2 linked regions of the Notamacropus eugenii genome follow. The protein of the gene in region 2 interacts with the protein of the main gene of each other region in a biochemical or structural test. Links are inferred from orthologs where the notes say so. Each region holds a gene or a part of one and is shown on either strand. Other genes may lie near its edges. The genes, in order: CACNB4 and CACNA1A.

Region 1 (15,672 bases), on a different chromosome or scaffold from region 2:
ATATAAAGAGGCAAAAAACAGTCCTCGCTCTTTAAAGAGCTTATAGTCTAAGGATACTTATCTTTCACTACAGCCTAAACTTTCAAGGCAGCATATATCCTAAAGCCTCCTGACCCCTAAGCATGTCTGACATCTTGATTTCAGATATTCACTGCACTCAATCCCATCTGCAAATGCAAATGGGGACTTGGATCTGGCTGGCATCCACTCCTTTCTATTCTTACCCTTGTTCATCACATGCTTCAGATCACAAGAGTGGTCTTACCAAGGTTTATTTATAAGGGATAAGAGATCATGCATATTCAGGACTATTATACCAGTGTAAGATAATTAGAAGTTAAAAAAAAATACCTTAGCCCCAGATAAGGTGACACTGGAAACTTCCTAATGTATTCTATTCAATTAACTGCATTTCTTCTAGCCTAACTTGGTCTATGACTCTTACCAGACTCCCTCATGAAGCCAGGGAACACAGCGTCTTCTAGCCTCCAAATCTGGAGTTGACCCAGGTGGTCAGAATCGGTGCTCAGAATTGGATTTATTGGTCCATTATAAAATCCCAGTTTAATTCTTAGTCAATTAGGAAGCTGCTTAATTTTACTACTGAGTTTTTGTTAGACTACCCATATTGCTACGTAATTACTAGCTGGCTTGCCTCTCAGAGCAGGGGAGAAAATAGATTTTTAAAAATCAGACACTATTAAAGTTTATCCCTTGACAACATGACCTCAAAAAAAAGACAATAATTTGGAAGGAGAGGACCTGAGTTTAAATCCAGGCTCTACTACTTTCTATATAACTTGAGTCAAGTCATTCACTCCAAATTGTGGGGTTTTTAGGTCATGGAACAAACTTTATGTGATAGTTTCCAATTAGAGTGGGAGCGGTGTTAGCTATCTCGTAATCCCATAGTAATATGAGTGGACCGAGAAAAACTCAATAATTTCATCAGCTGACCTCATTATATATTAATCTCTTTCCCTATTCAAGGGTCCAGTCAAATTGGTCTTCTCCCTGTTTCTCACATGTGTGATTCCTAAAAAAAAAAAAAAAGTCTGTATCCCCAGCACTTAACACAATACCTGAAATGTAGTAGGAGCTTAATAAATGTTTATTAATTGATTGATTGGTACATGGTAAGTGCTTAAAAAACTCTTGCTGAATGACGATCGCATTTTCCCCACCTTTAAAACAAGGCAGTAAAGCTTGATGACCTCAAAGGTGCCTTCAAAGTCCAAATCCTATGATCTTCCTGTCATAACTAGATCACAGAATTAGAATGCTAGAAGAATTCTTAAGAGTTAACAAGTTAATTCTTCTGTGTTTAGGTCAAGCTGTACAATCTATTTCAAAGATTTCCAGGAAAATTCCGCAGTCTTCCCTAGATATCCAGTATTAATATCTGACAAACTTCTTGTTAGAAAACCCCCACCTTCTCAAAAATAATTTTAATCCATCCTTCTGCAATTTAATGATTTCAGATTATCAAAGTAAAGTTGAAAATCACTATATTAAGGAACCTTGGCAGGGTTCTCTCTCATAGGCTGCACAAAATTAATCCTCCCAACATTTGCAAAAAGAAATCTTTTGCAAGCTTTCCTTTGGATTCTTTGCAAGATTCTCTCTGAAAGAAAACTATTCCCAAATTCCAGAACTCAGAGTTGACTCCTGGTGTTGTAACAAAACAGGAAACAAAGTCAATATTACCTTAGGGAATTTGGGAAAGCACACTTAGGAGATCCTACAAAAACTAAAAGATGGTCACTGCAATTCTTTAATTGATTCTGTGAATGTTTTCAGGTCTCTGTGCTATATACACATTTACACACATACACTTAGTTTTTACAACAGGCATAAGAAAAAGAGATTTTATTTGATGAGGGCTTCCCATCAAGTAATCTCAACTTCATTCCCAGAAGGTCATTCTCCATTCCTCACTGCCAACTCCATTCTCTCAGCAGTGAAGAACTGGCTTGAACTTAAAGCAGACACAATTGAATAGATCTCTAGATGGAAACACAGACTACATAGAACCTTTACATTTTGATTCTAAGAGTCTTAATCATACCTGAGTTCTTTAGGGGAAAGTTACTTCATAAGCCAAAAAGCCCAAAGCAGCAGAAGAAGCAGTGTTGTTTTCAACATTAGCAAGGTCTTTTCTGTGCATATTACACAAAGTTCATGGAATTTCCACCAAAAAAATCTCATTACTCCCAGTGTTTCAAGAATTCAAATACTAAGAATTCAGTCATTCAACAAATGTACTAAAGTAACTAATGTTTTCTAGGAACTGGCACATGGTCTTTTAATAAGATACTTGTTATTTGGTAGGGCCACTGCTCAGTCTAATTCCATAAGGTCAAGGCAAATTCATGTCACAATTTTTGGTCTCTTCTGAAGAAATATGAAATTTCTCAGCTTTTGTCTTGCAGCCATTTTGGTAGGCATAGCTATGCTGAGCAGAAAATAAATCAGAAGAATGGATAAATAATCTCTTGTGAATCAAGTTTTCTATTTTTTTCTTGGTTTTTCAAGCTAACACAAATATCTTCTAGATTTAAAGAGTCCATTTTACTAAACCAACAAAGTCTTTTTCCAGAAAGATAGCTGAAATATCTTTGACAGAAATATAAAATGTATATCAGATAAAATTAGCCTGAAAATCATTTGATAAGCAGCAGTTTGGGTTTGTTTGTATTTTTTAAATAAACTTGGGGGAGAAAACCAGAAGCAGAGAAAGAATATTGATCTTTGTGCTATAATCAGCAGCTTGCAATAGAAGAATTATGGGTGAGTGAAGTCGAGATACAGATAAAAAGGAAAGTTTGAGCCAAATTGTTCATGGGATGCCATGGTAATATGAAAGAGGTATCACTGATGTATAATTAGGGCTTCCAACAGTTTGCATCAATAAAACACTCCTAAAAATAGGCATCTACAAAATAATACCAGAAAGCACCAAAATATTTTCAACGCTCAAATTCTTTCCAAAAATGAACATTTACGTTTTTTTATAAATAAATGATGAAAATGAGAAAATATCTAAGTGAATCCAAAATGTATTTACCTACTGAGGACTCATAATGCACATCTAAATGCTAAAAAATGGTGGAATGATAAAACCTCTGTTTCTGAGAAAACAGATGCGTTACACTTAAGTAATCTGTAAATAAACCTCAAACATGACCTTTAGGATAAAGTTTCCATTTGATTTTTTTAATATCATACGTATGCAATGTTGATCAGCCACCTTCAACTTGAGACTAATTTTAAAAAAATGAAATTGACTGACAATCTTAAGTTAGAAACACATCACACAAGAAACTGAGTGACCAAGGGGAAATGTAACTTCCCAAGGTCATGTCAGCAATCCACAGCAGAGCAACGGATAAAGAGCCTCCTCGTGCTGATGACCAGATTCCTGCAGTAACTCCAGAGCACACATCATGAAAGCTGCTACACTGGAGTCAAGGTGACTCACCTTTACATGGTCTCTTCAAAAAATGTGGCATTCCTGGAGTGTTTCATTTGCCACATATTTATGATAAAAATGAACACAGTGACAGTTCTCCAAAGTAAAAACTCTAAACATTCATTTTCCCTGGCAATAACAAACATCATAAACCCAGTCCATACTCCAATTCCAAAAGACAAGAGGTACTAATAGAAACTCTAATCAATAAGATAACTGTCCGTCGGATTTCTCCTACTACAATTTTATCCAGATTTGAAAACCTTTTTTTAAGTAAAAGGGAGCAAAGAATCTTTCCTAAACTGAGAACAAACTTTCAGGAAAATTAGCTTCTCTGGTTCTCCCTCATGACCTAGGTTGAGTGGTCTAAATGAAAGACATCCCTCAGCATCCCAGATGACTGCCTATGACCCAAATCAGAAGAGGTCCCTGTCCACAACTGTTTTCTGAATGTCAAGGGAGGTCACATCCTCCGAAGATGCTTTTCCAAACCCAAGAGAAGACAGAAACTCTTCCAGTTCTGGGGCTCACAGTCCTCAAAACATTCAATTGCCTTCTTTCCTGAGCCTTTGAACTCTTTCTCTTTCGACACACAAAACTAACTCTAGTGTGGACTAAATGTAGTTCCCGAATTAGAAACATTCTTCCCTGAAACCGTAAGATACAAGAATTGGACTGGGGAGAGAAGTGAGGAGGGGGAGACATTGCGAATCGCAGAAGGAAAAGAGAACGAGAAGTTCCAAAAGCCAATCCAGAAAGAACCAAACAGCTCCAGCCCCAGGCGGGCGTGTGTTTGTGTTGTCTGCCTGGGGGGGGCGGGAAGGACCGACAGCCACCTTCCTACACGTGGAGGCGGCCGCGAGGCTTCCACTTCGGAGCCCGCCCCCGCCCCGTTTGGAGAGCCCCGACTGCCGGGCCGGGAGCACTGCTCCCTCTTTCTCGCCTTCTCTCTCCCTCCTCTTTCTCCTCCTCCTCGTTCTCTTTCTTCTCCTCCTCCTCTCCCTCCTTCCCGCTTCTTTCCTACCTGTCTAAGGATGAAACTGGTCGAAGTGGTACTGCCATCGGATCGCTTCAACCTGCTCCTCCGGGTCGTGGTGCCTCTGGCCACCTGAACTCGACAAGGTAAGAGAAAAGAGGGTGAGGGCTTGGGTTAGGAAAGGGACCTGCGGCTAAAGCAGCAGGGTCACCGGCCAAGGAGTGAGAGGGCTGACCATTCATTCATCCAATCCGCACCAGCCCCAGGCAGCTCCGGGTCCCAACCCCGGAGCCCAAGTATCCCCCCAAGAAACACACACACACACACACACACACACACACACACACACACACACACACACACACACACACACACACACACCCCACACGAAAAAGGGGACCACAAACACCCACCACATCCATTAACAAAGATTCGAAGGAGCTGGTTCAGGAGCTCCCAGCATCGGACAGGGGGAGGCCAGCCGGCTCCTCTAGCTGGAGCGAGAGACTGAGAGAAGGAAAAGAAGGAGGAGGAGGAGGGAGGGAGGGAAGAAGGTAAGGAGGGGAGAAGAGAGGGAGGAGAAAGAGAAAAGGGGGAGGAGGCAAAAGAGGAGGTAGGGAGCGGAGGCTGCTGCTGCTGCTGCTGCTTCGCAGGACTTGGGGTACTGCATGCCAAGAAGCAGATGGAGGTGGTTCCGAAAGCTTGCGAAGGAGGAGGTACCTGCGAGCCGGGGGAGTGCCGCCCGTCTGCAGACCCGCTCTGGGTGTAGGAGGACGACGACGACGAGAGCTGAGACATGGTTTAAAGCTGCATGGCCTGCCTGCCCCTACTCACTCTGGCCAGCGGGCTTGGCAGGGGCAAGACCTGAAGAGGAGGGTAGTGACTTCCCTGGGCGCAGCGGCGGCGGCAGCCAGAGCAACCACTGCTGCCAGCCTGCCTGCCAGCCTGCCCGCCAGCCTGCCCGCGGGGCTGTGGCTCCCGCCTCCGGGGGTACCTTTGCTCGAGCAGCTCCTTAAAGCTACAGAATCACTTTCTCCCACACCAAGCCAGCTGGGCTCTGGTGAAAGTGGCACAAACTCGAGGCACAATGTGTTGGGAAGAGGGAGAGGGGAAGGGAGTTTCATCAAGGATTTTGCTGCCTGATCCTACAGGAAAAAAAAAGGTTCAGACTCCCCCCACCTCCACCCGCACAACCGAGCTTTCCAGAAGATGGAGTTGGGGGAGGGAGATAAAAATACTGCACAATTTTACATGAGAGACAAAGGAGACATATTTCATGAATCAGGGACTTAGAGATAGAGACTGGTGCAGTGTAGCACACAGCTGAGAGAGCAAAGGTGTGTGTGTGTGTGTGTGTGTGTGTGTGTGTGTGTGTGGTCTGCTATACAGAAAGTATAAAAGGGGAAAAGATTTCTCTGATTTCACTCGTCAGCCTTTTCTGCTGATGCATGGATTTTTGTGTATTTTTTTTTTGTCTGACTGATTTGTTTTGTTTTTGCAAGCCTGGCTTGCTAGCCAAAAGTCACTCAACATAGTAAGCAACAATGGAACAAGCTGCCAGCCTAAGCCTGTATGGGGAAGCCAACCCTGCATGAGACCATGTTGTCCTAGGAGTTTTGAAGGTCATGTTCAACCAGCTAAAGTAACACTTGGCCACATGCCTTTGTGTACTATATGCAAGGATGGCCATTTTCTAATGTGTAGAATTATCTAAAATGCATATGCAACCTTTAAGTGTCTAATTCTTGAATTAGTCCCCAAAGCACAAAGAATTGTGCTTTACTTAAAATTAAAAGCATTGGAGGCGGCGACATGCTTAGCAACTGTGGGAAGCAAGGAGATAAACTAGGGATCCTAAGGAGAGAAAAAGAAGTAACAAAAAGCCAGACATTTTTTTTTTTGCGTGCTCTGTTTTCTCATAGACTTGCAAATCTATAAATATTACATAGGAAATCCATTAAAGCAGACATAGTAGCTCAGATCACTAACCCACTCCATCTTTGCTCTCACTGTTCACCTTGCCATCTGTGATTTCTTGATGGAATTACTGTTTCATTTTTTTTTTTTAACAATTGTGTAGCTATACTGATGGATCAAATTACACATATTATCTGTCTGTCCATTCCTATATCTTCCTATTACCCTAGTCTACCTGAATAGTCAGAGCCACAGGGTATCAAAGGGAGGAGAGGAACTTCTTGTTATTCAGTCCTTTCAGTCATCACCAACTCATGACCCCATTTAGGGTTTTAGTGGCAGATTCTAGAGTGCTTTGCCATTTCCTTCTCTTCATTTTACAGATGAAGAAACTGAGGCGAACAGGGTTAAGTGACTTGCCCAGGATTAAACAGCTAGTAAATGTCTGAGGTCAGATTTGAATTCAGGAAGATGAGTCTTCCTGACCTCAGGCCTGGTACTCTATCCACCTAAACACTAGGTATGGGGCATCCCTCATGTTACAGATGAGATTAAGGTCTACAGAAGTTTATTGATTTATCCAAGGTTACACAGCTAGTTAGTGGGAGATCCATAACTAGAAAGTAGGGCTCCAGGTTCCTTTAAAAAAAAAGCATATTTTCTCTTTGCATTACAGTGGGATCGCTTACTATAATGTAATTTAATGACCCCCAATTTCATCAACACAGTGTGACAAAGTCTTAGTGAATGCCTCAGCATGTACCAAATCTTCATTACAGTAACATAATTCACAGCTTAGTAACAAATTATTCGGGATATGGATGGTGATTAATATGTATAAATGTGATTTCATTTATGGGAATCTGCTTGTGAGAAAACTCTCAATACTTATCACAGTCTTTGAGAGCTGCCTGAGTCACTGAAAGTTAAATGACTTATTCAGGGTCACACAACTGTATCAAAGGCAGATGGATCTTCCTCACATGAGATTCTGTATCCACTACTCCAAGCTGCTTGTGTGTGCACTGTGTGTCTATTTGTTGAATTGTGTGACTATTTATTGAGAAGTCACATAGAATTTAGAACTGCCCAAGTGACTTTCCTTTAGAACAAATCTAGTCATGTCACTCTCCTACTCAATCAACTCTGATGGCTCCCTATTGCCTTTAGCATCAAATATCAGCTCCCCTATTTAGCTTTTAAAGCCTTGCACAACCTGACAACCACCTACCTTTCCAGCCTTATTGAGCATTTCTTCCCCTTCCCAAGACCCCAGGTGATCTGAGTTTCTCTGGACACTCAACATTCTACCTCTCATCTCTACGCCTTCACAGGTGCCATTCCCCATGCCTGAAATACTGGTTCACCTCAAAGGATCCCTCTGCACCTTGAAGACTCCTCTCAAGCACTACCTTCTACAAAGAAGTCTTCCTGACGTTTCCCCCAACTCCTGGTACCTTCTTTCTATACTACCTTGTATTTAAACACTTTGCTTTTATTCTCTTTATATTTATTCTGTAAATACTTATATGTGTACTTGTTGCCTCCCTCATTAGAAGCTCCTTATGAGGAAGACTTTCATCTTTCATATTTGTATCACCAACCCCTGTGCCTGGCACTTAATAGCCACTTAAATGCTTGTTGACTGATTTTTGACCCTGGGCAAACAGTATCATGAGACATCTTCCCTGATCTCAGAGAGTTTACAGACTAGTTAGGGAGACAAGATATGGATCAGTGGCAAAGGATAGGCAGACAATAAGTAAGAGATTTTATGACTTACCATCTTTTTTCACTGTTTAAATCATTCTCATCACTAAATATACTCTTTGTGGTAAGGGTCAAAATAGTCCTGATATATTTCTGCTTATTAACTCTGAAGTGGTCGTACTTTTTTAAGGTAAACTGTATGTCATTAGGGACAGTTAAATGGTACAGTATATATTTTGCATGTACTTCTGTATATGCTGTTCTCCCTGAGTAGAATTAAGCTCTTTGAAGGCAGGGCTATTTCATTTTCTACTTCAGTGTCCAGTATCTGTTTAATAATTAACAGCAAATGAATGCTGAATTGAATGTCATCTTTTTCCTGTTAGCAAAAATAACAGAGTAGGTTGCTTCCTGTAACTAAAATAAAAAACCTAAAAAAAAAAATGCAAACCTCTTGGTATGTTAAAAAAAGAAACAAATGGTGTGGAGGTACCTGGAACAAAGGGTCCTCTAAACAGATGCTATAAAATGTGAGCAATATCACCATTCTTTTTCTAAATCTTCAAGTTTGATAATTTTCAAATTCAAATTTAGCTTACCTAAATTCATATAAACCATTTTTCTTATGCTTCACTTCCCAAACAGGGGGAAAATATGCTGACTTTCAGTTAATAAAGTAATACAGAACCCCCTCCACAGCCCTCATCCCATTACACACTACTAATGTATTAGTGCAAGGAAACATCAGGAAAACGCCCTTCTGTCAAAAGCAAATGATGGCAGATCAGTTTTATTATTTGTAAAAATAAGCTTTCCCACCAAAACGACATTGTCAAGAATTACTCCCTTCGTTGTCAGGAGCTTTTCAAATTTATGTCCCTTAATAAGCAACAACTAAGAAACAGAAAAAAAAAGTCCACAGCTTTTAAATGATAGTTTTCTAATTAAGTGGCCTCAAAAAATCTGATTACTAGAATTTCTGTCTAGAATACGTATGATACAAGTGGCCAAATAGTATAAATTGACTTATACTTGAAGTTAAAAACGGAATATCACATATGTTTAGGTAATTGTATAAACTGCCAAGTTAAAATTTTCAGGTTTCAAATTATCCAAAATGGAAGAACACATACCCAGTTTTAGTTATTTTAACACCCAGGAACAAATTATATACATTAATAAAATTAATTTTATTATAAAGTTTCAGGAATTCTTTCTAATGTAACAAGGTTGCATATGAAAAAGCAGAAGCGATTTATTTACTCCTGATATAAAACAGTAGGTATGTACTTAATGTAGAAATCTTAAGTTAGACAATTCCTTTGGCAGCAAACATTTAATTATGAACAGGACTTAAAATAAATACAATACATAAGATCGTGAAGGGGAAAAATCCCTATAACGCCTATAAACACCAAAAAAGCATGTAAAGACAGATACAATAACTTTTTTTACACTATCTACAAACTGGATAAGTGGATTTACACAATACACATTATAAGAAAAGAAATGGTATGCCAAATATAAAATTGTTATTTTTAATTTAAGAGAAAGTAAATACATCTGCACATGTATAAAATCCCACAGACAAATGCCCATATACAATATTTATATACATTTCACATGTTATAAAGAACTAAATTAGTCCAAAACTGCATTAGTTTAATTCTTACTTGAATGATCCAAATTTAATGGATAGGGTAGTATCTATACTGGCTCAAAGACTATATTCGATTAAACTTTATTCAGATATTCCAAATTACAATCATACATGAAGAACTTACACATAAACACTAAAATAACTTTTATTAAATATTGTTTGGAAAAAGTATAAGTTCTTCCATGTTTTCAAATAGTAAATATTAAGAACAGCAGCTTTTCAAATAAACTGTTTATTTTTTTTTAAACAGAAAAAATGTTAACAAAAAGTTAAGGTGCCATTTTAGGATACGTGTGTGTAGATACACACATATATTTAACTTCACATGAACAGAAAATATGGAACGAAAGTCAGAATACGGGGCAACAAACACTGAACATTTCTTTCCAGTTATGTGTACCTAAAATAAGACAATGATTTGGAGTAGGCTTTCAAATACTAATTTGCCTTTTTTGTTTCCCTCTGAATGTAAACCAAGTATTGATCTCTTTTGTTCCAGGATATAGTCATTTTGAAAAAGGAGCACATTACTAAATAATTCCTTTAGCTAGATAAACAACAACAAGAAAGTTTGGTGAATTACCACCAAATAATTTTTGGTAGAAAGGATTATGTATGTAAAAATCACATATAGAAATCTTGTTTCCATGCAAATAACTATTTTTATTACTAAAGTTATGACCATTATTTTTCCCCAGTGTAAACATCAGTTATTCATAATCATATTTATGGTTATTTTCTATTTTGTGTCATGTGAAGAAGCTGTTAAATGAGAAAGTAGTGTGCAAATTTTCAGAAGGGACAAAAACCCCCACGTTCTTGAAATATATTACCCAACTCCTATAGTCTATAGGAACTACGAACACTATAAAACCACCTAAAATTTAGGTTTCCAGAAAACTGTCTTGGTAGTTTATTTGTTAATCCACTGCATGCTATCACTCCATGTGTTCAGAATGATGAATTAAAAGTAACATCCAATATTTTAATGGGGTGACAAAAGTGACATAACGATGATACTTAAACCACATTTTGAAAGGTTAAAACACATTAAACAGAGGGCACATGCCATGCTTAACATACAACACTTCAAATGATTAGAGTCCCTTGACACCAAGATAGTTATCAGGGAGCCTGATTTTCTCTCCATGAGAAGTTTCTAATCCATGTCAAGCTCCTTTTAAAGAATTACGGACACTTAACATGCAAGAGAAATCCATACGGCAGAGAGGGCATAAAATTAGGTAAGGTCTTCGTGAGGGAATGGCTTTATTGGCCAAAAAAAGCCATTATGACAATTCTCCACTCTATGGACCCAGGAGGAAATTAAATGCTTTTCCCTAGCAAAGAGAAACAAGATTTAGGGGTACTCTTTAGCCTACTGTTGGTAGGGCTGTTCTTCAGAACTAAGTGTTCCTTTCACATTTTTCTATTTACAATGGTCCTCATACTGTAAAACAATTTTCATCTCCCAATTCAGGTTTGCTTCAACAGATAATGATGTTACTAGTACAGTCAAAGCCAAATTTTCAGTAGCGCAAACAAAACTGCCAAGTAGCTAAGGCAGATGCTTTCAATGAAAAGATGTTCAAATTTTGGAGTAAGAATGTGGAAAATGCTAAACCACAATACTCAAACAAAATATTATTTAAATAGATCAAAGTAGCCTCCCAAGTACATTTTGAAAAGAAAGCATTTTTTTAAGCATGTCAGACTGACAATGCTAGAAGAAGAAAAAAAAAAGACTGGCTAATGTTCAAAAGACTACTCAGTACTTGTTAAGAAAATCTATATGAAACTCTTTAAGCTAGAGTAAACTAACTCAAATTATCTTTAAGCCACCTCTGAAAAAATAGTCTAACATAACCAGTACTTCAAAAATTGCTTCATGTCAGGGGGGTGGGGAAGTAACTGAGATTTTTGTGCTTTACTCATGGTCCTTCTGAGTTGAGAGAAAAATGGTTGTATTTTTATATCATTCTTAGATGACTCAAATCACAAGGGTTGAGCAACATACTTATGAATGTTTTCAAGACTATGCCTGATCTGCTTTTTAAAGGAGAGGTTGCTGATGATAATTTGTTTGCTGTTGTGCAACTGAATGAGCTGGAACTGTCACAGGCAAGCCTGCTACTTGAGGCAAACTGGATGTAGTGTTCTGATAAGATGACATATCCACAGACATTCCCATCTGCTGTGTGTAAGAAGCTGGAAGACTAGCTGATTGAAGGGTAGAGTTCTGGTTCATATATCTGGGATTGGAAACTGTATCTACTCCAGTACTGAAAACAAAGCAGAAAAAAAACAATTAACTATTTCACTAAGAACAAGTTGTTTTCTTATACAAAATTCCAGGCAGAAAGATCATTTTAACAAAATAGTCTATCATTTTGCAGTATGGTATAGAAACAGAGCATTGGACGGTGTCAGGAGACCTGGCTTTCACTGCCAGTTCAGATATCCAAAAGCTGTGGGCTTGGACAAATCACTTCCCTTTTCAAGACCTCAGTTTTCACAACTATAATGAGGGGATGGACTAGGTAGATGTTTTCCAATAACCTCTGAAGTTTCTTCTAATTTAAGCACTCATTGTTACTTTTCAATGATTTAGCTTTCAAAACTCAACAAGCATTTTGTTCTAAAAGTTAATTATTCCTATATGAGAACAATGGACTCTTTATTCTGGATGCCAGTTACTAAAAACACAAATTTTAATATGCAAAAGGAAAAAAAGGAATTAAGAAAAGACAAAAGATATGTAATTTTTTTTCCTCCAATGATCTTAATAACTTAGAAAGCCAAGCCATGCAACTACAGTATCATTCTATTAGCTCTGATTTTGGTCTCAGGAGGAGGAAGTGGCTTTAAAAAAAAAAGGCCTTAAGATCTTAAATACAATCAGCTCATGAAGAGCCTCCCCCATACCTACTTTATCTCTATTTCTCTGGCATATAAATGTTTTCTGTGGTAGACAAAGGTTTTAATACCTGTTCCCAGCACCAAACTACTTAAGACAGGACTAAGTTTCACAATCTTCTAAGGATGGCCATGGCCAGGGGACTACATCATACAGTGATACAAAAAAGAAATCTGATAAAAAAAAAAAATCACCCCTAAAACTAGAATATGGGCTTCATACTTCATAGAACCACCCCTGTTAAGAACTAGGACTTTAGAGATCTAGTCCAACTCTTGTCAGGTCATAGATGGATGTGAGCTCCAAAAACGTAATATGGCTTGCCCAAGTCCACAACTAGTAAAAGGCAGAGTCAGTATCAGCCCCAAGGACTTTGATTTTGTATAGTTTTATGGTCTTTCCATTACTCCACATTTTGTCCTTTGAGAATACTTCTCCCCCACCCAACCCAAGAAAGTAATCTCTCCTTTTGACCTATCGGAGCACTTTTTTTCAGTATCAGTTCAGTAGCACTTATCACAATTTATGTTATATTATTATAGTTACAGGTACAGGTCTAATCTCCCAAATATAAACTGTGGGCAGAGACTAACATGTGACACAGCCTTGCTATCCCAACAGCAACTAGTACAATACTGTGGATACAGTAGTTGTTCAATATATTAAATCAATTTCACAATTCACTTCAACAAAGGCAGTTATTAGGGGCCTTTTATGAGCAAGGCACTGTACAAGTTTCTAAGGAGACAGACAAAATGTCCCTGTCCTCATGTAGCTTATGTTCTCCTGAGGATGTGACATATGAAGCAGGATATAATATATACTTTTGTAAATACAAATACAAAGTAAATACAATATATACTTCACTAAATACAAAGTAATTTCCCCAGAGGGAGAGAGTGTTAACATTGGGGGGGGGGGGGTGGAAGGGAGAAAGGGAAATCAATAACGGTGTTATGAAGAAGATGATACCTGAGCTGTGCTTTAAAAGATGTTAGGGATTCTAGCAGTGCATAGTAACCCACATATGCAAAGGCACAAAGGCAGGAAAAGAACACTGTGTACCAGAAAAATGGCTAAAAGGCCAGTCTGACCACAACAGATAGTATGCAGTAAGACAAGAAAGGTAAACAGGAGTCAGATTGTGGAGGCCTTTAAATGCCAAGCTGATTTTTCTGTTTAATTTTAGAAGCAATTGGGAGTCAGTGTAGCTTTCTGAATTGGGGACAGATGGAGGAATGATATCAGATCTGTGTTTGGGTTATTTTAACATGGGAGCTATGTGTATACACACAGATTACAAAGGTGAAAGACTGAAAGTAGAGAAGCCAATTAAAATGTTATTGTGGTAGGGCAGAGACTGTGTGTGTGAGGTGAGAAGGGGTATGAATGCAGCAGATGTTAATGAGACTTGTCACCTGACTCCGTAAGAAAACTACTGGATAACGAAGAGCTGAAGATAATTCTACTATGAGATGATTAGTGTGTAATGGCCCTCCCAAAGCAAACAGGGAAGTGTGGAAAAAGCATGGGTTTGGCAGAAAATATACTAAGCTCCAATTTGTACATGCTGACTTTTAGATCCTATGGGATGTCCCAGGGGAGATGTTCAGTGGGCAATTGCTGGGGCTGTAGCTCAGTAGAAAGATTATGATTGGATGTGCTGACTTGAGGAATGCCCATGATAAATGAAAAATTCTAAAACCAAAATAGGTTTTCTCTACTACTGGTTGTACTTCAATTTATTTATGCATTTCAGAAGGTTTGCAGTGCTGCCCAATATTATGAAAGTTCATCTTAGACGCAATCCCAAATAGGCACTGGAGTATTTAAAGTAACACCAAAAAGTAATTTAAAATAATCAGGGGATATAGTATTACAGAACTTAAGGGAAAGAATCACAAGATAATCTGCACAAATGACAACACAATTAACATTTTGGTAATAGTTTAGGCAATTCTCTAATTTAAGGCATCAAGACTTATTGATTTTTAGGGTACTGTACATGGAAGGAAAATTTATCTACCCCAAATTTTGCCTACAAAAATGAAGAAATTTGAATTGAAATAGAAGAAAAAGTGGTTTAACTACTTTTTGATTCTTTGGCTCCTAACAACCAGCCATTATAGATGCCATACTTGATTACTTAGGATGGTTAAAGAACAGTGCTGAAGAAGAGGACATGGTCTCGGGCCGGATGTTCACAGGGACATTGCATTTTGTTCTGTTCCAGGACTGTAAACTACACTGACCAAGGGGAACCAGCTCACAAAGAGAACACAAATCTGTAATTACAAATCCGTATAAAAAGCTAAAAACAAAACAAAAACCACAAACAATTGGACTGTATTATAAAGGGGGAGGGGAGCTACAAAGTTCAATTCTGACAGTCTTAGAAATTCATCTATTTGAGAAAAATACTAATCTTGTCAAAAACTTACCTTAAATATGGAGTGTGAGCAGGCTGTGTTGTTACTGAGGAATTTATATTTGGAGGCAGAGATCTCAGAGGGCCAATGTGATCTGGTCCCAGACTATATCCTTGGGGAATGGTGACTTGATGAATGCCCTGAACCATGTAGTTTCCACCATGGTGTTGGCCAGGATATGTCTATTAACCAAACAAAAAACTTCTTTCAATGGCTTCTGGGATTGTGATTTAAACCAAAAGAACATCAACGAAATAGAAATAGTGGAGTAGTGTAGGTAGTTCAAGTCTTTTCTATCAACCTACCTACTCAGAAGTATGTGGTATTTGATTTTGTAGGTTCCCTGAATGGGGAGCTTCCGAGTCCTAGTGCCAAGCCTATGCCTAGTTTTATTGTTGATTTTTTTTGTAAATGGAGGGCTGGAAGGTATTTTCTGCTAGAGTCCACCCAAGCTGCCTCTTATTAGAAAAAAGACTTGCTGACAAGCCACACAAAACTGCACACTCCCTCGAGGAGAAAGAAGGACCATCACTTGTTTTCAGTCTTTGTGCCACTACAACCGAATGCCTCTGCTGTGACTCACACAGCACC
Region 2 (15,499 bases):
TGTGTATTTTCTTCCCCTACTGGATTATAAGGGCAGCTAGGTGGCACACCCCAGAGTAAGGAAGATCTGAATTCAAATCCAGCCTCAGACACTTACTAGCTATGTGACCCTGTCATTTAACCCTGTTTGCCTCAGTTTCCTCATCTGTAAAATGAACTGGAGAAGGAGCTAATAAAACACTTCAGTATCTTTGCCAAGAAAACCCTAAATGGGGTTGTGAAGAGTCAAACATGACTGGAAACAACTAAACAACAAAACATTAGCTTGAAAGCTCCTTGAGAGGAAGAGTTATCTTTTTCTTATTTGTATCACCAGTACTTAGCACAATGCCTGGCACATGCTTTATTAAACACCTATTAAATATTTATTTACGGACTGATATGGCTTCAGTCTTATCCTTTCCATCTCACTACTCATTCACCTAAGAGCTGGGAAAAATAAACATAAAGAGGGAAAAAAACCAGAGGCGCCATATGTTCACAGCCACATGTTGGCCTGAAAGGGGAATACATCATTGGTGCTACCTCTTTTTTCACCTGGAGGCAATTTCTTCTTCTATTACCACCAGGAAAGAGAAAGACTAAGTTTCTCTATTGGAGCCTTCTGTATGAATTCTCATTTTTGGTTCAGCAGCTAATTAGAGAGATAGCTAACTAACTAGAGAGATGGACAGACAGACCGCATTTATTAGGCACTTACTACGTGCCAGGCACCTCCACCTGAATATTTTTTCCTCGCATGGTTTTCATAAGATGTCTTTCTCCTAGTTTTCCTTATTCCTGTGTGATTACTCCTCATTTTTCTTTGTATCGTCTCCTCAAACTTACCTTCACATATCTCAACTTCCTCCCCTTCAGTTCACTCACAGAACTTTGACATTCATTCATGCCTTCATGACCCCTTTAAAATAGCCTCCTCTTGGGTCTCCCTGCCTCCAATCTCTCCTCTTTCCAATATAACCTGCACACAACTGCAAAATTTGTATTCTTTTTCTTTCATCTGTCAACACTTTTATTATTTTTCTTTGTAAAATTTTGATTTTTATTTCTTTTTAGTTTTCAACATTCATTTCCATAAGTTTTAAATTTTCTCCCCCCCTTTTTCCCTTTCCTTCTCCCCAAAATGGCATGCAGTCTGCTATAAAACTCTACATATATATTCCTATTAAACAAACTAAATTTATATTCTTAAAACAGATCTGATCAAGTCACCCCTCTCTATACTCCACACAGCCAATAGTTCTCTACCGCCTCTGGGAGAAAATATGAGCCCCTTATTCTGGCATTTAAAGTCCTCCATAGTATGGCTCTTATCAGCCTTAATTTCCTGTTACTTTCCTTTCTGCACTCTTCATTCCAGTCTTACTGACCTACTAGCTTTCTTCCATGGACAGTTCTCTATCTCACTTCTTCTTTAGATAATAGAATTCCCAGCTTCTTTCAAAACACAGCTCAGGCACCATCTCCTATATGAGGCCTTTCCAGACATCCTTCTTAAAGTTTCTCTCTCTCTCTCCTTCCCTCCTTCCCTCCCTCTCTCCCTCTCCCTCTCCCTCTCCCTCTCTATATATGTTCTCTCTCTATTTTATATGTATATATATATATACTCTCTCTCTCTCTCTCTCTCTCTCTCTCTCTCTCTCTCTCTATATATATATATATATATATATGTACGTATATATGTATTTACTTATTTGGGTCCATGACATAATTGCTCCCCCCAGCTCCAAGAAGAATATTAGTTTCTTGAAGGCAGAGACTTTGATTTTTGTATTCTGCCTTTGTCTACAGGGCCTTGCATATAGTGGGTGCCTAATAAATGTTGAATTCAATTGAATTCATTAGGTGTTCAATAATAGTGATGAAACATCATGGAAGGGAGCTGTTGAACTCTATGGTCTTGCCAGCATCCAGTCTCATTTTCTAATACTGTGAGAACGTTTTTTGGTCAATAATGAGTAGATAAAGGCAAGCATAGAAGGCCCATCAGATGTGAAGGTAACACAAAGCTAGAAGAGATGGCTAACAGTTAAAAGACAGTATAATGCAGAAGAAAGAGCTCAGGAATTAGAGTCCAGGGACCCGGTTTCAAAGTCTAACCCTGTTGCTTCCTGCCTTAGTAATATTGGGTAACTCACTTGACCTCTTTGGGAGTCACTTTCCTGATGTGTAAAATGATCCTTTCCAGCACTAAATCTATGACTCTTTGTAAGAGAATTAAAAAGTATCCCAACAGGCTAGGAGAATGACTGAAACAAGTAAGGCACAATTTAATAGGGATAAAAATAAAGTATTTCAGTTAAAAAAATCAATTGCATAAGTACATTTGGGAAGGTGTGTGTGTGTGTGTGTGTGTGTGTGTGTGTGTGTGTGTGTGTGTAGCTTTCCTTAGCATTCATTGCCACCTTTACTTCATTTTGGGCTATTGGTATCCTCACAAAATTGGTACAGCACCAATGTTACGTGCACCCCTCATCCCTTAGCTCTTGCTCTCTCTCCTCAAATATTTCTCAAGAACTGTCTGCTATCTCTTTTGCCCACTTCACTCTCTACCTTGTCTTATTGTTATTCAGTCATGTCCAATTCTTCATGACCCCATGGACCAGAGCACATCAAACCATTCTATCCTCCACTATCTCACAGTCTCCCCAAGCTCATTTGCTGTTTTCATGCCACTATCTAGCCTTCTCATCCTCTGCCATCCCCTTTTCTTTTTGCCTTCCATCTTTCCCAACATCAGTCCTTTCCAATGAGTCCTGTCATCTCATTATGTGACCAAAGTACTTAAGTTTCAGTTTCAGTCCTTCTAGTGAATAGCCGAAATTAAAGTATTGACTGATTTGATCTCCTTGCTGTCCAAGGGACTCTCAAAAGTCTTCTTGAAATCATTAATTCTGTAGTGTTCAGCTTTCCTTCTAGTTCAGTTCTCACAGCCATATATTGCTACTGGAAAAACCACAGCTTTGACTATATGGACCTTTGTCAGCAACATGAAGTCTCTGCTTTTTAGTGTGCTGTCCAGATCCACCACAGCTTTCCTTCCAATGAGCAAGCATCTTTTAATTTCATGGCTACGGTTGCCATCCACGGTGATCTTTGAGCCTAAGAATATAAAATCTGACACAATTTCTATTTCTTCTCCCTCCATTTGTCAGAAGTGATGGAACAAGTTGCCAGGGTCTCAGTTTTTTGGTTTTTTCCTGTTAGGTTTCAGACCAGCTTTTACATTCTCCTCTTTTGTTTTTCCCTACTAGTGCAGTAGAATTTCTTGAGGGCAAGGATTGTTTCTTTTTCATTATCAATCACTTTTCTTCTCTTTGATACTTTCTTCTCTCTAGGTTTTTGTGACATTACTCTCTGTCCTAACTTTCTGATTGCTCCTTCTCAGTCTCCTTTGCCGCATCTTCATACATGACATCTCCACTAACTGTAGATGTCCCTCAAGGCTCTATCCTTGGCACTCTTCTCTTTTCCCTCTATTTGATTTCACTTGGTGATGTCATCAATTCCCATGGATTCAATTATCATCTCCATGCAGAAGATTTTCAGATTTATTTGTTCTATTAGCTGTGCATATCTAAAAATGGACATCTCAAAGATATCTTATACTCAATGTGTCCAAAATGGAACTCATTATCTTCCTTCCAACACACACACCAATGCTTAGCGCAGAGTCTTGCATATAGCAGGCATGTAAACACATCTGTTGCATTCAACAGATCCACCCTCTGTTACCTGTCAAATGTGATAATATTTGTAAAGCACTTAGCAGAGTGCCTAGCACATAGAAGGTGTTTCATAAAAGTTTATTCTTTCCCCCTTCCTCTTCCTAACTTCTACCTTCTATACATAGCTCTTAAAGATATGCCTTATTCAATGAGTTCCTTTTGCAACTACACTGAGACAGTTCCCCTTTTTCCTTCTTATCAAAATTCCATTTGTATCTTCAGCATTCAGTTTGCAAGACTTTCCTGCCCTGTTGGGTCTGTCTTATGTTTTCAAATTTTAGCCTGTTCAGTCTTATCTACCCTTTGAAATCTGCTCTCTCAAAAATTTAGGGTCCATATCAGATGATGCTGAGATTTCCCTTTTCTCTATCAATGGTTTCTAAGATGGAGGTTCTGGTCTTTTCTACATCAAACCACACTGCTGTATGCCTGTGAAACCTAGACAGTCCTTGACCAGTGCCAAGTCAGGAAACTGAATCGCTTCCATTTGAATTGTCTTAGGAAGATTCTGAAGATCACCTGGCAGGAGAAGGTACCAGACACAGATCCTTACTCAACTAGAATGCCAAGCATTCAAACTCTGCTTCAAAGACCACAACTCTGATGGACTGACCACATTGTTGGAATGTAAAATATACGCTTGCCAAAAAGGCTGTTTTATGGAGAACTTACACCAGGCAGGCTTTCATATGGTGATCAGAAGAAGAGATAAGAGGACACTCTCAAGGTCTCCCTTAAGAACTTTGAAATTGGTTGTGTAACATGGGAGACACTGGCACAGCACTGCTCAGCATGGTGTGCCCTCACCAGAGAAGGTGCTGTGCTCTATGAGCAAAGCAGATTGGAAACAGCTCAAAAGAAATGCAGGATGTGAAAATTTAGAGTATCCACCCCAAATGTTTACAGGGACTTTTTGTGCCTAACCTGAGCATTCCAAGCTCCTATTGGTCTGATCAGTCACAGTCAGACACATTGAAACGGGACTCTAGCACAGTGATGTCATTTTGATCCTCTTCGAAAACAAAGGACAACAGCCAACCAGTTCTTTCTTTTTGACTAGAATCCAGTCAAGAGTAACAGAGTTGCTTATGATTTCCTCTCTTCTTTGAAGAATGAAAATATGAAAAGAATCAAAAATCTGTTAGTATTCTGTTTTTGTGGTGGTGATAGAGCAATGGGCTTGGACTAAAGAAGACCTGCGTTTAAATCCTGTCTCAGACACCTACTAGATATGTGACCCTAGGCAAGTCACCATGCCTGGCACATGATAGGCATATGGTAAGCATAGAAATGCTTATTTCCCCTTCTCTTTTGACAGAGAAAGAGTTCTAGCAATTGTTCAGCATTGAACCTATAGAAACCTTACATCAACGTGCTGTTTCATGTCTCCATGCTCATTTGTTACCCCAAATTCTTTGTTAATATTTCATCCTTCTGTCCAGGTGGTCTGTGGTATAACCCCACAATAATATGACTTTTCTCGCGCCTTCTGTTGCTCTTTATCCAAATGCTCTCAATCATGCTTACCTTATCAGGTTCTGGAATTTCCTCACATATGAATGTGAGTTTTTATATATAATCTTTATATATAATCACATATGAGTGAGTTCTTTATATATGTATCTACTTTTCCATCTTCTTTGTATGTAATACTTCTCCATTTTCTGTTCTTTTTGAATAAGGTATGCCCTTCCAGAACATAATCCATTCATGAGTCCCATCCCATCAACTTTCAGTGATATCTGTGAAGGGGCAGCCTTCCCCAGGAGGACGTTAGGAGTGTGTGTTCGTCCTTCCTTGCCGAAGAAGACCATGCCATCAGAGAAATGATGACATGACTTGCACTTGACTTTGTTTTGAGTGAGGGAAGGCTGTGCAGGTCACCAGCCTCACTTCTCCTCCAGAGTCATCTGAATTCGGTGACCAGATATTCATCAGGATGACTGGAGATGACCCAGGATGAGGCAATTGGGGTTAAGTGACTTGCCAAGGTCACACAGCTAGTGAGTGTCAAGTGTCTGAGGTGAGATTTGAACTCAGGTCCTCCTGACTCCGCACTGGTGCTCTATCCACTGTAACACCTAGCTGCCCCGCATTAGGAGTGAGGGAGGAAGAAGACGTGCAGCTGCCAGTGAGGCAGTCCTCAGAGCCCAAGTAGGTATATGGCGGCTGGTCAGAGGACTTCCTTAAGGATGAATGAACCATGACTCACTCCTGCCATCATTGCCCTGGAACAAAGCCCCAGTTTCTATACTTGAGTTATAACTATGCTCTGCAGATATATACGAGCTGCTTTTTCTGCCCCCTTCCTTTAACATTTTCAGTCTTGCCTTTATTTGTTAACCATGACCTTGGGAATGTTACTTTTTATATGTAGGTCTCAGAGGCAGTTGAGCTAGATGCTTTAAGATGATAGATAGTTAGGAAGAGACCTTAAAGGTCATCTTGTCCAACCCCCTTATTTCATAAATGTGAAAAATGAGACCCAGAGAGGTTAAATTACTGGCCAAAAATCATACAAGACAGTAAGTAGGAGAGCCAGAATTAGAACACAGCTCTTTTGATTCCAAATCTGTTATATCATGTCAAAGGTGGTCTAACTCCAAATCTTGTGATTTTTCTCATTAACTCACATTACATGCTCATGGAAGAGAAAATTAGAGATCATGGAAAACAGTTAATAATCCTAAAAAATAATTTATTTTTGTCCATATACTTTTAAATGTTCACATATTCACACAAAGATTGCATGGATTCACCCTTCTCTGTCCTGTTCTCCTTCAACTACCTCTTGGCTTAGTAATATTTTCTGTAATTTGATTGCATCGCTCTGGGGAAGATGGGTCCCTATGGACAGATAGCCTAAAAAGAATAACCCAATTGCAGAACCCAGGTAGAAAAAAACCCACTTTTTTATGTTAAAAAAAATAGTGAGAAGCGAACTGGATTTAAAGTCAGAAGATGTGAGTTTGAATCCTAACTGTGTCATTAACAATCTATATGACCTTGAGCAAATAACTCACTCCGGGTATCAGTTTTTTTTCCTCTATAAAACAAGTGGGTTGGACTCAGGGGTCTCCAAGGCTCCTTCCAGCTCTGACACTTGTGAGTTGAGAATGAACTTTTCTTTGAAACTTCTGACCTTGGGCAAGTTAACTTACCTCCCCCAAAGTCCTCTAGACCAGGGGTGAGAAACCTGTGGTCTCAAGGCCATATGTGGCCCTCTAGGTCCTCAAGTGTGGCCCTTGGACTGAAAAAGTTTGGATTAGGTCTAAAGGCCACACTTGAGGACCTATTTGTTTTGTGAAGTTTGGATTCAGTCAAAGGGTAGCACTTGAGGACCTAGATGGCCACATGTGGCCTTGAGGTCGAAGGTTCCCCACCTTTGCTCTAGTCAGTTAGGGAGTGTAACCAGATCATTCCTTCCAGACCTAACATTTGAAGCTTCCCTAGTGACTCTAGGAAAAAAGACAGGACTTCCCAACCCTTCCTAGAGGTCCATATCAAGTCAAAGTAGGCCTGTCCCCCAGGTAGCTGCCACCAGGTTAATTATGGGCTACTAGGAGATTAACCATTTCCTATTTCTTTGCCTAGGAGACCTCTGACGGAGACAGCTCATAGCCCAAAGGTGGTCCCTTTGCTACCTATCTTGGGTGCTAACATCTGACATCGAGAAATAGACTATGGTTGGCTATTGTTTTTCAGTTCGGAAGAGAAACTCCAGACTTCCCAGAGGGGTTTGGCTTTTATTCTTCTTTCAAGGAATGTGCCTAGTTTCTTTAGAGCTCAAGCAGGCAGTATCTCTACACTTGATTCACCTTTCTTCAGCCCTCCTCCCACCACACCCCTCCTGAGGCCAGGGACTGGGAGAAGCACGGCACTGTACCACTACCACTGGGGTTCTTGGGGGAAATGGTGAGAGAGGAAACGAAATCTTCCTTCTAGGCTTTCTGAGGGGGAGGGGAATTTGTCCCAACTTCCCCTCTGCCTCCCCATCATCTCTATCCCCCACAAACTCTGGTGGGTTTGGTCGTGCAGTACCTCCTATGATTGGTCCCCAAGACATCATGTGCTAAATATTTGGGCTGCTCTTTCCCACATTAAATTGATCAGTCGCTGCTCATTATAGCTCAGCCTACCAGTGGTTCAGACCTTTTCTCCCATTTTTTTCTCCCACTCTTTTCTCTTTCCTTCCCTCTTGATCCATCCCCCCTTCTTATTTTAGCAAATTCAAAAGAAGGAGGAGAAATCTAGCGGGGAGGAAGGGGAGGTGGGAAATGCCAGACATTGCAGCACCCCAGCAGTGGTCATGACTATAGATGGTGGATAGCACACACTCCTTGGGCTTTCAGGTTCGGATTTTACCGAATTTCCTTGCTGCATTCAAGCCCTAAGATGATGCCGAATTGAGACACACGCGCGCTCGCGCGCGCGCACACGCACACACATCAGGGCAGGAGCAGCAGCCGCGGGTGGGGATACAGGAAGAGCAAACAGCCCTGCGTCTTCAAGGAGCCTAACGCGTTCTTCCGAGCATCTTCCCTCACCCCCCTCCCCAGCCCCTCCAACCCCCCAATCTTTTCTTTTCCTCTTTTCCAACCCCCCCTTTCCCCCTTTAATTTGTTTCATTTTTTCTACATATATTTCATATATTTATTTATTTAGGGCTCAGAAGCAAATGCTCAAGTGATATAGAACGGGGGGGGGGGAAGGGTATTATCTGCTGGGTTTTCTTTTCTTTGCAAAGAATACATTTTATTGATTTATTTTTTTAAATGATTTTTTTGCGGGAGAAGATAGAACCGCACTCAGTTGCAGAGAGAAATCATTTTTGAAAAATGCAGTCCTGACCGGGACATCGGAGGGATTGAAGGTTGCATCGCGTTCCCGGTTGGGGGGCCGCTGGGGGTGGGGGGGTCCGCATTTCTTTAAAAACTGTCTATGTGGCAGCGGGATCTGGGAACCTAAGGTGGATTTTTTGGGAGGAAATTGACCTTTTGGAGGGGGTGGAGAGAGGTTTGCCTTGATTTCTTCATCAGGTATTATTTGCGTTGCTTGTCTTGCTCCCCCACCCCATCCTCCACCCCCCTTTCCCCCGTGCCCCGCCCCCGCAACCTCTCTGCCCGCCCCTCCTCCCCCCGAACAGCAAGGAAGATGTCCCGAGCCGCTGCTGGCCCCTGCTCTGGCCGGGCTGCTGCCTGAGCCGCACAGCGCCCGCCCCGCCGAGCCGAGCCGCCGCCGCCCGATGGGATGGGATGTGGAGCTGCTCCGCAGTAGCAGCAGCAGCAGCAGCAGCAGCAGCAGCAACCTTAGCAGCAACAGTAGCAGTAGCAGCAGCCGCCTTAGCAGCAGCAGCAGCGTCCGCCGCAGCATCCGCCGCAGCCTCGTAACCCTCGGCCCTTTCCTCTTTGCAGGATGGCCCGGTTCGGAGACGAGATGCCAGCCCGCTACGGGGGAGGAGGCGCCGGAGGAGGCGCTGGGGCAGTCGTGGGAGGTGGAGGCGGCCGGGGTGCCGGGGGCAGCCGGCAGGGAGGACAGCCTGGGGCGCAAAGGATGTACAAGCAATCCATGGCGCAGCGAGCCCGGACCATGGCTCTGTACAACCCTATTCCCGTCCGACAGAACTGCCTCACGGTCAACCGGTCTCTGTTCCTCTTCAGCGAGGACAATGTGGTGAGGAAATACGCCAAAAAGATCACCGAATGGCCATATCCTTTGCCAAAGACCCTCTCACCTGCCACTCCCCACCTCCTCTCCCTTCTCCTGCCCTGCCCTCCCTGCCCCCACCACTTGCATGGCCACCCTAGTTTGAAAAAGGAATAGGGCCCTAGGGCAGTGGGTCGGGAGTCAGCCTGCTTGGGGCCCTAGTCAAGAGTAGGGAATCAATCAGAGGGTTGGGGGCTGAAGAAGACAAGGGGGTGGTCATAAGAGGGAGCTGCTTTGGAGGGTTAGGGTTTTGCCAGACCAGACACAAAGCTGGAGCTACCATGTTGCTCTGTGGGGAACTGGATTACTCTTAGTGACTCAAATTAGGGCTGGGCAGGCCAGGCCATTGCACTCTCTTCCACCCAATGGGCTAAGATTGCAGAGGGGAGCTCTGGCTGGGGCTTTGAGGCCGGTTCAAAAAAAGAGTCGTTTGGCCAAGACAGGACAGGAGCCTTTGAGAGAGGGGAGCCTGGAGGAAGAAAGAGGGGTCTTAGTGGCTGTGCTTTCTCTCTGCTTCTTCTTTTCCTTGATGAGTGTTAGATACCAGAAGCTCATCAGTTGTAGGCCAGTCCAAAGGAGGACCAAGTGAACTCTTCACTTTCTGTGGTCTTCATTGGGTTGGAAGAGAAAGGACAGGGGGGCAAACTTGCTTTATCCAACTGCACCTGTACAGGTAGAGGAGGAGAAGGGAGACCGGGGACCATGTGAAGTCTACATGGAGATTGTAGGACTTCTTGCTGCACCCAGTTAATATGGTATAGTATGGTCCTAGATGCTTGGTCCAGATCTGTGAAGTAGTGTATTTGTATATGGGTGTTACTGCTATATGTCTGCATGCGCAGTTAACATATTCACTAAAATGGTCCTTAGAGGTGTTGGTTGCTATCATTCAACTTGGTAGGGCAAGCATAGATTTCCTCCTTCAGCAGAAATCTGACATGCCATCTTCTTACACTTGCCCATAAAAACCCAGTTTGGGTCATTGTGGTAGAGAAGGGAAAAGAAATCAGGCTACCTGGGCTCAGCTACTTATTCCTAAGACCTCCTCCCCTCCCTTAGTGATACATGCTACTTCAGGTGCCCTGGCGGACTGGGTGAGAGAACTGAAAAATTACCATCCATTTGGATACACCAACTTTGGTAGGTATAAATACATTTTTGTTAAAAAAAAAAAAACAACTCAAGGCTAAGTGGTTGGGGACCACATTTTTTCATTGATCCTCTATCAAAATGTACCTCAGAGTCTATCAGACCCCTTTGGACTTGTCTCTCCTTGAAATGGGGCTAGAGGAAGGTTTAGCATCACTTGAGCTGTATGTAGGGACTGGTCTTTGATTTGTTGCATGGGTCTGTTCAGTCTCATAGCAGGTCCCTAATCATGACCTAGATTCCATGTGAGCAAATTTGCTGGAATTGTCATGGTTAAATTTTCATTGAAATATGTTCGGTTTTTTTTAAATTTAAGGTTCCTCCTAGATTCTCTTATGATAAAAAATGGTCTGTGTGGTTGCTTGTGGTTAAAAGCTTTGGGTTTAATTCCTATTTGATTTTGATCCTAGAGCTGAGTGCTTTGCACCCACCAGGAACAGGCATATGCCTGAAGCCTACTAGCAATGGTGGAATGTTATTGGTGGGCCAGAGATTGAATGGAGCTGCTGACTTCTTTGGATTGAAATTTTAGTGGGGACCATAAATGTTTGAGGTGAATAAGTTGATGAGAACTCAATTTACCCCAAGGGCTGTGAGAATTAGTTGGTTCATTGGGAGGTCATGGGGGAGGAAGAAAGAGGGAGGAGATTACATCCCTAATCATAGGAATTCTATGAAAATTATTGATGGAAAATGACCACTATGATTACACAGCTCTTCAGAGTGGTTCCTGAGGGAAGAGCCTCCTAAAATGGGAAAGGTATTGCCTCAAATAATGGCTGAGGATTAACTAGTCAAAATGGTTGGAAATCCCCTTCCATTCCGGGGATTTCTGATATGCTCAGTAATAATAGTTCTGTTTAACTTTTCTTACCCAAACTTGGGAAGCTGGAGGTTAATAAAAGGTGGCTAGCACTCAACTGGAATTTCAGGAGCTACATCCTGTAGCCTTTTAGAACATGTGCTATGCAACAGTGGTTTTCCTGCAATCCCCTCTCTTTTGGAAGATTGCTTTGGGAACAGGCACAGTACTGACATGTTTTAGGAAAGAAAATGGTTTAAGTTCCCTTTTTCAATCTGATTTTGAAGCTAAAGGAAATGAGGGGAATGAGAGGCTTTATCCCGTGTCCTTAACTCGCCTCTGCCTAACCTAGATCACCTAGTAAATATCCCTGTTGAACAGGGGGACTTCAAAGGGCTTACCTAAAGGAAGGATTGCAGCTTGGCAGTGCAAGGCTAGAGCACAAGCCTTCATTTGGAATGCCATTGTTTGCTTTGGTGAGCTGTCCTAAAGCTCTTTGTAGCCTCAAAATCAGGTTTCCTGCATTCTCACTTGGCAGGTTGTGTGTGTCATCCAATTGCCCATGAGTGGTAAAGATAGTACTGTCCCCTCCTGAGGTGGAAGGCCTTTGCAGACAGATTTAACCAAGCAAAAGGGCATTGTGAGTGGAACACCCAGGACTAAATCCCAAGGCCTGAGATGATTTTAGGAAAGGTTGTGGCTAGGCACAGAGAAGTAGGATCATCCGCAGTGTGTTCAGTGCACAGAGAATGGAGGAGCCAGTGACACCCAAGGCTGTATGCAGACTCCAGACATTGAAGTTCCCAGGATGGAACATGGATTTGTCCACCACTCAAAGATACCTGTCATTGCTTGTTAGGTTGGATCTTTTATCTGATAATATCATTTAAGGAGGGCTGCTGAGCCAACTAGGGAGTGTGTTCCTGTCTGACATGTGGAATAAAGAGGACATGTGTGTTTTTATAGATAGAAATGTAAATCTAAGTCCAAATGCTTGCAGAAAGCTCTGATCAATAGAGAATGTTGTTTTCATAAGACTTAGAGCTGGGAAGGGTCCTGAGATATCATCTTCTAGGTATAGTAATCCCCATATTTTACTGATTTCGAGACTGGAGCTGAGGGTGGTAGCGTGACTTGTACTGAGGTCACACATCCAGTCAGTGGCAAAGCCAGTATTCGAATGGTATTTATTCATCTTATTCCAGGTTCAGTTCACTTTCCAAGACAGGGAGCCAACCTTAGAATTACTCTACCTTTTCCGTTGCCTCCTGTCACTCCCTTAGCACCCCACTCCCACCCTCTGAAGCCTGTAAAACAGTGAATTCTTCCCTTCTCAAAATGTAGAAAACTGAAATGAATAAAAGTCATTAAAATTGTTGCTTACATTAGTAATTTCTGTGAGTATACTGTTTTTCTGGAAGTAGGCTAACTGCATCCCCCTGGTATGAAGATTTCATCTATTGGCACGCACATTTAAATATGGTCATACTGGTCCCCAATGACTCCCAAAGAGTTTAAATCTGTCAGCTAACTAACATACAGCTGGTAACTTTGAGCCGGAGCTTCCTTTTCATGCTACTTTGTACTCTGAATTTCCTAGCAAAGCAAGCAGACTTCACTTCCTATTTCTAGGTCTGCTGATGCCAGCAGATCTCCAAATGAACTTGTCAGGGGGATTTGTCCCTAGAAGGGATGGCAAATTCAGGCATCTGTGTTTTGACGTAGTTGAGCCCTTCACTAACGAACCTGTGGTTCCGGTTTTTATGTTCATGGGAAGCCACAGAAATTGAGTTGGAAAGGAGCTCAGAGATCATGTAGTCCAAGCCATACCTGAACAAGAATCCTCCCCTACAACATTTCACACAAACCATTATCCGGTCCCCACTTGACGACAAGCAGTAATGGGGACTTTTGAAGGCGGCCCATTTGATTTTTGTACAGCTCTGTTAGGAAATTTTTCCTTTCTAAATTCTAAATTGAACTCTTTCCAGTTTCCACCCATTCCTCTTGGTCCTGACCCCTGAAGTCAAGCAGAACAAGTCTAGTCCTTTTTCCTTATGATTGCCCCTCAAATACTTGAAGACAACAACTGTGCCTTTCCCCTTCCCCCAACCTTCTCTACAGGCAGGCTTTTCAACTGATCCTCCTGTCTTTTTGAACCCTAGACATGTTGACCCCAGGATTTTTAGGAAGCCTGATTGATCAAAATTTACAAGGCACATTTTTTTTAAAAGCATAGATTAGAATTCATGACCCAAATGGGAATCTGAGAGAATCCGTGATTCTAAGGAGAGAGGAGCCCGCAGGTTGCTAGTGAATTATTGATGTGTACAGAGTAGATGCAATTTCTTTTATTAGATGCAGAACTATATAACTTCTTAACTTAGCTTGACTGGCTTATTCAGAAGGTAAAGCGACGAGGAGTGAGTTAATTTATCCTATTTTGTCAGGGAAATGACTTTTTTTTTCTGCTCTTGTTAAAATGATGGCAATGATAGGGTTAGGTCCTAGCTAGTTAAATTGGAGAAAGTGAGTAAATTGGTTCTGAAATGCATCTTTGCATCAGTACAGAGGAGACATGGATGGTTTTTAAACAATTGCAGTGCAGTAGACAAGATTCTCAGACATTAGGCTAATTAGTTCTGCCTCTATTGTGAATTAAATAGTGTTTTGAATGTTGTGCTCATGGATAATTTATTATTTCCTAAAATTGATAATAATTGTAGTCCTTGACCCTAATGTAAAGAAACTGGATTGTGGGTGGTAGGATGTTCATGGGGATGAAAAGGCTCACACCAAAGATGGACTGGAAAAAAAAATTAGCGGGAGAGGCATGCCAAAAATTGGAAAAAGCATGAGAGCCAAATATTTATAATTCTGTGGTGAAGCCAGCTTTCCAGAGTTTGGATTTGTTATTTTTCATTTGGGGACCATTTCGCCCTCTTGAAGGTGGTTTAGTACCTCCATTCCATTTCTTTATCTTGAGCACTCATGCTCCAGAGTACTTTCTTGGCTTTGGGGACACCATGACAGTGAATGTCCAGAGGGCAGGAGGCAATACTTTTCTGTACAAGTTCATTTGTTCTTTTTGCAAAAGGTGGGGGATGTGGGGAAGAGGAAGGAGGCATCTCCAGATTTGCACTAGAAAAGCTACAGCCACCATGAGAAATAAGAAAAGCAGCTAGAGAACTTGGCTTCTCAACATCTGGACCCTAACTCTGCTGTCTCCCTCTGTACACACACCCAAAGAAGACGTCTTTTCCTCATTCAATCATGGAGTCATAGGAATTAAAGCTGGCAAGATGCTTAGTAATCTTCTGTTTCAGCAGTATTTCAGTAGTGACAGATGAAAACTGCAATAATTATAATGAATACCTTTAGCTCACATGAGATAATAGAATACGATGTGTATTAATATTGGACAAGAAAGGAAGATAATGAAGTGGGCTTCTTACTGTGCAGTGGTCACTTTTCCCAAACTTGTTTAAATTTTGATGGAAAAAAAGGTGGGGGAATTTATTTGTGGGAGTTAGTGGTGGTGGTGGGGGAAGGTAGAAACTGATAAAGGAAGCTTTTATCATGGTTAGAGAGGGTAGATTCATTTGTATTTATTAATTTGACCATCTCTATTAGAAATAGTTAAAGGGCTACTTTTAGCAGAGTTTTGGCATTCATTTCAGGATGGAAAAACCCATGTCCATTTGGTCTATTTTCTACTCCTATCAGTTGCTTTCTCTCCTCAGGAAGAATGGGTGGCTTATCGAGGGGGCACAATGAGAAAGTAAGGAAAAGACACACACACACACACACACACACACACATACATACACACATGCACTAGCCATTCACTTTCTTATCCAACCCTTTACGCCCCTTGCTGCTATGTATCTTTGTTTTCTTGCCTTCATCTTTTTTGGATGTATCAGAGCACACCATTTCGAAGAGATTTGCAAAATGGAGGCCACACAGATTGTCAGGGACATTGTTAGCTGCTGCTCAAGCTACAGGGCAATCCAAGTGGGAGAAATTGCATCTGCTTCTTTCCTTTGGCCCCAGTGAGCTTTTCTGTTGTATTTCTTCTCTAAGTCCGTGCTGTCCTACTCTTCTTTCTGTCT

Evidence for each region.
Region 1: the proteins of CACNA1A (region 2) and CACNB4 form a complex in vitro, tested with the Homo sapiens proteins (2 studies listed by BioGRID). The link is inferred for Notamacropus eugenii from reciprocal best matches to the Homo sapiens genes CACNA1A and CACNB4.

The regions. Positions count from the first base shown.
Region 1 is NC_092876.1:209,346,038-209,361,709, forward strand, and holds the start of CACNB4 (voltage-dependent L-type calcium channel subunit beta-4), read right to left. Parts: upstream 5,924-15,672; 5' UTR 5,247-5,923; coding exon 5,169-5,246; intron 5,115-5,168; exon of another isoform or gene 4,871-5,114; coding exon of another isoform or gene 4,862-4,870; intron 4,854-4,861; exon of another isoform or gene 4,581-4,853; coding exon 4,497-4,580; exon of another isoform or gene 4,462-4,496; intron 1-4,461. Other genes in the region: STAM2 (signal transducing adapter molecule 2), read right to left, coding at 11,789-12,017, 15,094-15,263. UniProt on the Homo sapiens protein: The beta subunit of voltage-dependent calcium channels contributes to the function of the calcium channel by increasing peak calcium current, shifting the voltage dependencies of activation and inactivation, modulating G protein inhibition and controlling the alpha-1 subunit membrane targeting.
Region 2 is NC_092875.1:77,442,623-77,458,121, forward strand, and holds the start of CACNA1A (voltage-dependent P/Q-type calcium channel subunit alpha-1A), read left to right. Parts: upstream 1-8,867; 5' UTR 8,868-9,142; coding exon 9,143-9,435; intron 9,436-15,499.